Cricetulus griseus: one gene and its partner. The protein of the gene in region 2 interacts with the protein of the main gene of each other region in a pairwise test. Links are inferred from orthologs where the notes say so. Each region holds a gene or a part of one and is shown on either strand. Other genes may lie near its edges.

Evidence for each region. The genes of interacting proteins can lie anywhere in the genome.
Region 1: the proteins of Spg21 (region 2) and Akirin2 interact in binary tests that used the Homo sapiens proteins (3 or more experiments, as listed by UniProt). The two-hybrid records come from large-scale screens. The link is inferred for Cricetulus griseus from reciprocal best matches to the Homo sapiens genes SPG21 and AKIRIN2.

The regions. Positions count from the first base shown.
Region 1 is NC_048595.1:107,493,203-107,497,297, forward strand, and holds the end of Akirin2 (akirin-2), read right to left. Parts: intron 3,708-4,095; coding exon 3,564-3,707; intron 2,128-3,563; coding exon 1,978-2,127; intron 1,187-1,977; coding exon 1,115-1,186; intron 905-1,114; coding exon 894-904; 3' UTR 211-893; downstream 1-210. UniProt on the Homo sapiens protein: Molecular adapter that acts as a bridge between a variety of multiprotein complexes, and which is involved in embryonic development, immunity, myogenesis and brain development.
Region 2 is NC_048597.1:177,057,693-177,062,959, reverse strand, and holds the start of Spg21 (maspardin), read right to left. Parts: upstream 3,344-5,267; 5' UTR 3,125-3,343; intron 1-3,124. UniProt on the Homo sapiens protein: May play a role as a negative regulatory factor in CD4-dependent T-cell activation.

The sequences.
Region 1 (4,095 bases), on a different chromosome or scaffold from region 2:
CTGGAATCAAAAGGTAAAACTTCTACAGCTGTTTGAGATCTTGCTATGTAACATGCTGTCATACAGTTCTGAATCAGAACTTAATTTTGGGAAACAGCATTTAATAAAAGGTGAACCTTATCAGAAATCTAACTTTATTGAAAATACTTACGTTTAAAACACTACTTTATTCAAATACTACCCATGTGTACAATTCGAAAACAAGCAGAATAGAAGTAAATGTTTTATTTTTCCAACTAAACTCCAGTGCTACAAGGGCAGTAAAACAATGATACACTGGGGGAGGGGGTTGGGGTGCAGCAATAAACATTTGTTAAAAAGACTGATAGAATAAATAAAACTACCAAAAAATAATAATAAAGGAAATCATATAAACCCATTCTGAAACCCCAAGAAAAGTCCTGAAATACAGAAATGCCCTCCTCCTCCACTATTTCACAGAAGTACTGTAGACTAACTGCTTAATTGTCCTGGGATTACATTCTAAATTATTAATAACTGGTTACAGCTTGGTTGTAGTGCACAATTAAAATCACACTAACTTCATCTGACGTGTCATTCTACAGTTTTATTTACATAACCAGTGAAGGGCATGTTCTAGAATGCCAACTTTAATCCCTTTTAAACATTAATATAAAGAAGCCAAATTGTAATGATACAGCAAAACGAGGCCACTGGTATTAATACAAGTAGCAAAGGTCCACATCCAGGTGGTAATGACATCACGGAAATTTCCAAAACCAATTGCTGCTGCCTAAGAGTGGTTGCCATTGACGAAAGCTTGAAATAACCTGTATTCACAGATGGGTACTGGCATTGCTGCGTGTCATAGTTGGGACCTCCTGCAACAACTCAACAAGGAACAAGGCAGCCCACAAATGCAAAAGGGTGATTCATGAAACATCTGGAGGAGAAAAGGAGTATTAGTGCAAAGAATGGGGCAAAATTAAAACATACAAGATAATGCATTGCTAACATCACCCCTAGATATTTAAGTAATCAGGGGTTACAGCATTTTACTTCTTTTGTAAACCTTTTCTCTACATTTTTTATCAACTCTTTAAATATGAAAACATGGTCACTTCAGTTTATAGTTCAAAGGTCAAATACTTACAACTAGCAGGCTGTTCTCCATATCGCCGCATTATCTGATCATGCGTAAACTTCACAAATGCATCATATTGTTCTACAAATAAAGTATGTGTCAATTACATGACTTGCAAGATATCTTATATAATGTATCTGAAAATATAAAGCCACATGAAAACACCTTCATCCATTCCATAACCTCCGTAGTAATTGTCAACAGCTCAGGTGAGTGTTTTCCATAGAATACAACATAAAAATCTGAATTCACTAATACTGTAGCTGATCTATATGACTAGTTCTTTCTTGGGGCCAATAAGGTGAGGAATGTTGATTTCCTTTTTTGCTGAAATGCTCTGGTTCATAGGCAACACTATCAATATATAGAAAAATAATTTCACCAATGTAAAACAAGGTGGGAATAATTCACTTCTTACAATGAGTTTTTAGGTGTGGCCATTCGATTCGAATAAGAATGGACCCCATAGGTTCATATATTTGAATGCTGAGTCACCAAGGAGTGGAACTCTGAAAGATTAGGACTAGGAGGTGTAGCCTTGAATGAGCTAGTGGGACAACCATAAGATAAAGCTTAGCATGCATACTAGTAAGTCTCTTGGGATCTGGTTGGTGACCCAAAACAAAAAAGGCTTTGAGGTTTCATAAGACCAAGGCAGACCTGGGCTTTCTCTTCCCAGGAAATCAGGATGTAGTTCTCAGTAATTGCCCAACACCTCTCTGCATGCTGTCATAATAGACTAACCTCTAAAACTGAGCAAGCCCCCAATTAAATACTTTCTTTCATAAGAGTTGCCTTAGTCATTATGTCTCTCCCCAGCAATAGAACAGTGACAAATACTGGGATATTCTAAACTAAATTCATTTTATTACCTGCAAGTTTTGTGTTCAGTATTTCTTCATATTCTTCTCGAACTTTCTCTTCTCGTTCTTTCAACAAACGTTCACAGATCATCCCAACCTGCCTTAGAGTAAATAAGGGCTGTTCTTTTTTTAATGGTGAGGATGTTGCAGATGAAGTACCTATGTACAACATGAATAAAACAGCACCTGATTTAGAACCATAACAGAATACCTCCTAAATGAAGATTTCATTTAGAACTGTCCCATGTTACTTAAAATTTATTCTTTATGATAAACAGGTCGGAACTAATAATTTTATCAGCCAATGACTCTGGAAAAAAGATATGTTATCCGAGGAAAAGCCTAAAGATAAATGGAGAAAGCCTCAAAACAAAATCATTGCAATGCTGGAGCCCATCACAAAACTTTCACTCTCCATCCCACTGCTTAGAACATTCAGTGGCTAATTTACAAAATTTCCTATAAAAGAAATATAACTCTGGTTTAAAGCTTCACTTTAATATTAGAGTAACACTATAAAGACTTATGTTATTGTTAATTGCTTATATTTTTAAGGCCATACAGTAAAGCCTCACAACCATCTTATACCACCACTTCAATATTCCTCATTTTTCAAACCGTTTAGTTTCCTATTTAGAAAGAATCATGTTTAAATAGAAAAAAAAAAAAAGATAGAGAAAATTACTACCCTTAAAAGGAGGTTGCTGTAGGGAAAATTCTGGAATGGAGATGCTTAATTTTAAAATAGAAATGATTTTAAGTTTTGAATAGTTACCATAATCCCTTAGTTCCTTTAATTCACACAGAACCAGTCAAAAACTGCAACAAATGATTTTTAAGCAAGAGTGGTTTTAGGAACCATAAAATATAGATGGCTTTTCCCCCTATACAGACTATCCTAGCAGATGTCACTAATGAAAACTGTAATGAAAAAAAGTACACAATTCGAAAAATAATCATGATCAGAGCTCCCTCTTTTAAGAAGTCACAGAAACGAACATTTCTGAATCTTTGTTCATGAGTCAACTTGCGAAGATGCTGGTATTCTATCCGTAAAGTTTTTAATACTGATTTGTGCTCACTATCTTAACAATTAGAATAAAGAATTTTCTCTTGTTACAATAACACAGAAGGAATATTCTTGATAATTTGATGTTGACAAACAATGGTGTTGCAGTTGCTTTGGGATACAATTGATACAATTGCTTTAGTTTGATAATTTTGGGGTTCTGTTGCAGACACCCTCTTCTGGCCTCTGTGAGCACCAGGCATATAAGTGGTATAAGTACATAAATACAGTCAAAAGTATAAAAATGAATAAAATTGGGTGTTTAAAAAGCACTGGTGACTTTTTTTTTTTTTTTTTTTTGGAAGTTACAAGTTAAACTTACACAGTGTCCGCTTTAGGGATGCTAAATAAAAGTGGCTATTGGTTGGTGGGAATCCAGGTGCTGATTACTTTTGATACTATGATTAGCATAATTTTGTTAATATTGGAGAAAAACAGGTGCTGTAAGTCATTACAGGCATTTGCAATATACTTCCCCATCATTTCTCACATAACATTTCTTTCACTTATTAAAGTTTCTTATTACCTGGTGACGCTGGTCCACTGATGAGAAATGCATGTGGCTGTGAATCAGAACTACAGCCTGGGTCTGTCTGCTGAAAACTAGCTTCTAAATGTCTTCTCTTCTGCATCCGCTTATACTCCTGTTTTATGTTGTACAGAATTTGTTCTAAATGGAAAAAAAGTAAAAATTTGGAAAGATCAAAATTTCACTTTCAACAAGTGTCCCATGCCTCCCTCCTCCCCCAGCAATTTCTTTGAGCACAGTTAACTGGCCCTTTTTCAAAAGCAGTATATCCTACCCTCTCCTGGCCTCTTTAGGCACATATATCTGGCAAATACCCCCAGACACACATATACACATGAAATGAAATTTTTTTAATGATCTATTATTTTTTCTTTTATCTACGTTGGTATTTTTCCTGCATGTATGTTTGTGTGAAAGTGCCAGATCTCTTGGAACTGGCATTATAGGCAATTGTGAGCTGTCATATGGGTGCTAGGAAATGAACTCAGATCCTCTGGCAGAAGAGCCAATGTTGTTAGCCACTGAGCCA
Region 2 (5,267 bases):
TTTTGATAGTGCTGAGACCTCTGTGCTTGTTTCCTCTCTGTGGGCTTCATCTTTGCTTCCCCAGAGCCTAGAATGGTTTGGCATTCAGCCCACCTGATCTGCTGACTATGAGATGACTGAGCTCTAAAGAGACCAAACCAGGCCCTCTGAGAAGCCCTCCTAATTCTGTTACTGCCCAGCTGTGAACTGCATATCCTTTGCCTGACTGTGCGATGCTGTAACAGGAACCTAAGGGAAGGTTCCTTCTTGCAGATTCTTATGGCCAAGAGCACTTGGCCCACCTGGAAAGGTTCAAATACATGTCTTGCGTGGCATTCCCCTGCTTTGAGGGCAGAACTAGAGTCCCTAGTAGGGATGAGGTGACAGTCCAGGACTTAAGTTTAGGCTGACTTTGAAAAAGCTCTCTGGCCTGGCAAGGGGCAGAGAATTCTAAACTTAATGGAACCCTTCCTCATTCTCTGGCCTCTTTCTACAGGGACACAACACTGGTCTGCTACCTTTGAGAATCACTACACTGAACTTCCAGGAGACAGTAAATGTAGACAGACCAATATTAAAACTCTAATTACAATGCTGATAGGATAGTGGTCTCTTATCTCAAAGCAAAGGAAATATTTTGAGAGGGTTGTTAAAATTGTAATTTTTTTTTTTTTGAGAAAGGATTTCACTGTGTATCCCCAACTGAGAACTCACTCTGTAGACCAGGCTGGCCTCTAACTCACAGAGAGCAGAGCCCCCCCGCCCCCGCTAAAACTGTAAATTGTTTTAAAACACAAAGTAAATTACCATCAATCTTATATTGAAACCATCGTGCACAGATTCAGTCATTAACACTAAAACAAAGAACACAATCCTTTGCAAAATCCATTTATCTTAAATATTAACAAGTTTAGTATCTAAGATGTTTAAACTATTTTTATATCATAACTTTAACAACTTTTAGAGATTCTTATTATTTGAATAGTTTCATGCAAAATGTAATATAGTCAATTTACCTCTTCTGTCTCCCTTAAGCTACTACTTTTTTTAAATGAAAGCAACTAGCAGTTAATTCTGAAATACTTTACACTAGGACACCAACTAAAGACATTTTCTAGAACAATTTCTGTAGGAGAGAATATCAAAAATATGTGAAACCACCAGATGATAGCGCACACCTTTAATCCCAGCACTCAGGAGGAAGACAGAACTCTGAGTTCAAGGTGTACATAGTGAGTTCCAAGCCAGCAAGGGCTACACAGTGATAGGTGAAACCTCATTTCAAAACAGACACACAAACAAAAACTTCAATCAATTTGTTAAAGTTTACTTCTAGAATCAACCCATTTACGGTAGAAATTATTCACAGTTTTAGAGTCAGGTGCAATTCACAAACCAAACCACAGCACAAACACGTAGGCAGGCACACAAGGACCCCGAGTCACCCACTTCTTTCCCATAGCAATGGGTAGAAGGTAGTCCTTACCAAAAGCCTTCCGTATAATTCACAACTACCTCAGTATTGCAACAGGACACGTTATAACTAATCTTGATGGGTAAGAGATTTTGCCCAGCTGTGAGTACACGTTTGTAAAGACAAGTGAGCCTAACACTTGTGCTAGTTCGGCAGTAATGAAAGGCGAGACAGTTACCAAATGTTGCATGTGACCAGCTGACGGCTATGAAGAAGAAGAAGAAGAAGAAAAAAAAAGCTGCAAAGGGAAAGCAGCTGTAGCAGTATGAAAAGGAAAGTTTGTTCTAGCTCTCTTTCATCCACTTAGGTCGGATGCTTTTCCAAGTCACAAAAGAAACATTGTGTCTATGGCCCAGAAAGTTAGCTGAGATTGTGACCAAACTGGTCAGGATGAAAAAAGAATGTGAGCGGTGAGCTCAGCACAGATGCGATTTCTCATGATTCAGTTCTTTACAAAAACAAAAGCACTTGTTCAGGCTGGTGAGGAAAGGGCCAGAGATAAGCTTTAATCATGATTAAGGAAACCCCTCCTCCGGGATGCTGAGGACACCTGGTCCTTTCTGGACTTTGTGTTGCTGGATGTGAGCATGCACGTGGAGTCTCAGCAGAACCTGCACTTTACAGCTGAGGAAATCAGCTTTACAAATGTTAACTCACATGGTCACATATGGCTGGTCCTTTATCTCAATCTATAGTGGACTTACATAGGGATAATCTGTGATTATTACAGCCAATAAAAAAAGCATTAGACCTTGAAAGCCTCTAGGTGACACAACTATGATTATCGGTACCAGGAACTGAACCTATGGCCTCGGGAATGCTAAGCATGAGCTTCTGCCACTAAACTACACCCAAAGAACCACAGTTGGCTATTTACTGCAGATCTTCACCCCACCCCCAGCACACCCATATGTATTAAATAGCTATCTTTCGGGGGCGATTTCTTCAGGGAAAATTCATCCCTCTTTCTCCAGGAACCTATCCACTTGTCTCTAAATGCCATGACAGGAGATGCTGCCTGCATGACATCTTCTGACACCTCTTCTCAAGATCCTGTTGTAAATGCCTTTTGAAAAATTCAGACAGTATTAGAGGACTTCCCAATCCTTAGAATCCTTGCACGAAGAGTAGCTGGACAATTGCAGATAGAGACAAAGCAACTGCATCAGCACCTAACAACTAACTTCCTGGGAAAAGAAAAACGAGACACTCGCTAGCCCTGCAATGTTTCTCATGACTCTCTAACAAGCCTCATGCCCGGTCTAAGGCAGGATCTCCAGAACTGGCCTCTACTCGCAGTCCTTAAAAGTTTACTGAAACCAAATGCTTCTGAGCTTCTGCCGCACAGCCCCAAGTTGGGTGGTACAAGAAGATGAAGATGTCCGGTTAAGGTTTTGGGCACCAACCCCCATTGGGGCCTCCCTGAGTCCCACTAGTTATAGCCATAGCCACACAATAGTGGACCCACAGGCACACCGACCATCCGCAATGAACCGAGGCTGGGCCTTAGACACAGACACAAACACACACGGATATGGATCACGTGCATGGTCACAAGGACCGGCCCACCCGTGGACGACACTCACTAGTCACGCATGCTCGATACACACCCACCTACAACCCTACACGCACCACACACCCTCACTCCGCTTTCCAAGGCCTGCCCCTCACCTGCCGTGGCCACCCCCGCGTCCCTTTCTCTCCAGCCCAAACGGCTCTTCGGCCCGGTTCGGGCGCTGCGGAGGCAGGCGGCAGGGCGCGGGTGGGCCGGGCGGCTGCAGAGCAGAGGCTCCGCGGGCGCAGCAGGTAGAGGGGGCGCGCGGCTGAGCAGCCAGAGGCCGCCGCCTCCCAGGTCTGAATCCCGTAGCTCCCTGGGGCGCGCCTCCCGCTTCCGGGTTCTGAGGGGCGGGGCCGGACAGCGAGGAAGGGGCGGGGCTCTGGCGGTAACTATGACAACGAGGCTGGCGTGGAGCCCCGGATGGGAGCTTCTGTGCTCGCCCGAGCGCAAATGTATTGGAGCAATGCAGAAGCTGGCGCCAGTGCTGGCGTTGGGTCAGGGTCCGTCCTAGGTCACCTGTCTGACATAAGCACCAGGAGAAAGCTATGGCAGTGAAGTCTGTGCTTCTGCCTTCAGTTTTCGGGTGGCTCGTGCTTCGGGGGAGACATCTTTGGGTTCTAGCTTTGGTGAATAGAGCTTGATGTATTTGGTTGGTTGGTTTGGTTTACTTTTTGGTTTTGGTTTTTCGAAGCAGGGTTTCTCTGTGTAGCCCTGGCTGTCCTAGAACTCGCTTTGTAGACCAGGCTGGCCTTGAACACACAGAGATCGTCCTGCCTCTGCGCACTTCCCGCCTTGTGCATGCGCTACCACCGCCCGGCTATATATTCTTTTTTAATTAGCATAAGTTAATTAAATCACAATAACGGCTTCATTAGGACATTTTCATATCTACATAAAGTATTCTGGTCATCACCCTGTTAGTCTTTATCTTCCTCTCATGCTCCCATCTCCTCCCTCTTCTTAACTACATACTTTTTCTCAACAGAACTAGTTTTCTCTGTACAGTTACAGAGATCCTCCTCAGACCTCCTGTCCAAACTGTCTCCTTTTGCGGCTTTGTGCTGATGTTGAGGGGAACATACTCAACACTAGGCTTGCCCTCAGACACAGGTCCTCTTCTGTAAGGCTCACTCTAATCACTGTTCTTACAAAAGAGGGTGCAGATGTTATGACTCCTTTCAGTAAGTAGTTTTGCTCTGAAATAATGTATGATCATATTGAATTATCTGTAAATCTTGTTTGAAAAATTTTAAGAATCTTATAGCAAGATCTTAGTGTTTTAAGGAGAACTTAAAAATATATCTTTTTAAAAAAATTTTATTTATATAGCTTCACATGTCAATCCCTTCTCCCTCTCCCTCCCTCCCCAACCTCCCACCAGCCCCCCCTCCCCCCTCCACTCCCCAGGGAGGGTAGGGCTCTCCATGAGTGCTCCCCAAAGTCCACCACATCATCCTGGGCGGGATCTAGGCCCTTCCCTATGTGTCCAGGCCGAGACAGAGCATCCCTTCACGTGGGATGGGCTCTCAAAGTCCCTTCTTACACCAGAGAAAAATACTGATCCACTACCAGGGGCCCCATAGAGTGCCTAGGCCTCCTCATTAACATTCACGTTCAGGGGTCTGGATCAGTCCTGTACTGTCCTCCCAGACAGCATCTGGGGTCCATGTGCTCCCCCTTGTTCAGGCCAGCTGTTTCTGAGGGATTCACCAGCCTGGTACCGACCCCTTTGATCTTCACTCCTCCCTCTCTGCAACTGGGTTCCAGAGATCAGTTCAGTGTATAGCTGTGGGTGTCTGTCTCTGCTTCCATCAGCCACTGGATGAGGGCTCTAGGATGGCATAGAAAGTAGTCATCAGTCTCATAGGGGAAGGGCATTTAGAGTAGCCTCTCCACCATTGCCTAGATTGTCAGTTTGTGTCATCCTTGGAGATCTCTGGAAATCTCCCAGTGCCAGATCTCTCCTCGGACCTACAATGGCTCCCTCTGTTATGGTATCTCTCATCCTGCTCTCCTCTATTCTTCCCCCAACTCAACCAAAAATATATCTTTATTATTATTTATTTTTTATTATTATTATTTATTTTAATTGTGTGTGTGGGAGAGTATGTGGTCCACATGAGTGTAGTGTGTAAGGAGTGGAGAAGTGGGTTTTGGGTCCCCAAGAGCTGGCATTACAGCTAGGCATTTATGAATTGCCCAAGATGGGTGCAAGAGTAATATGCACTCTTAATCTCTGAGCCGTCTTTCAGCTCC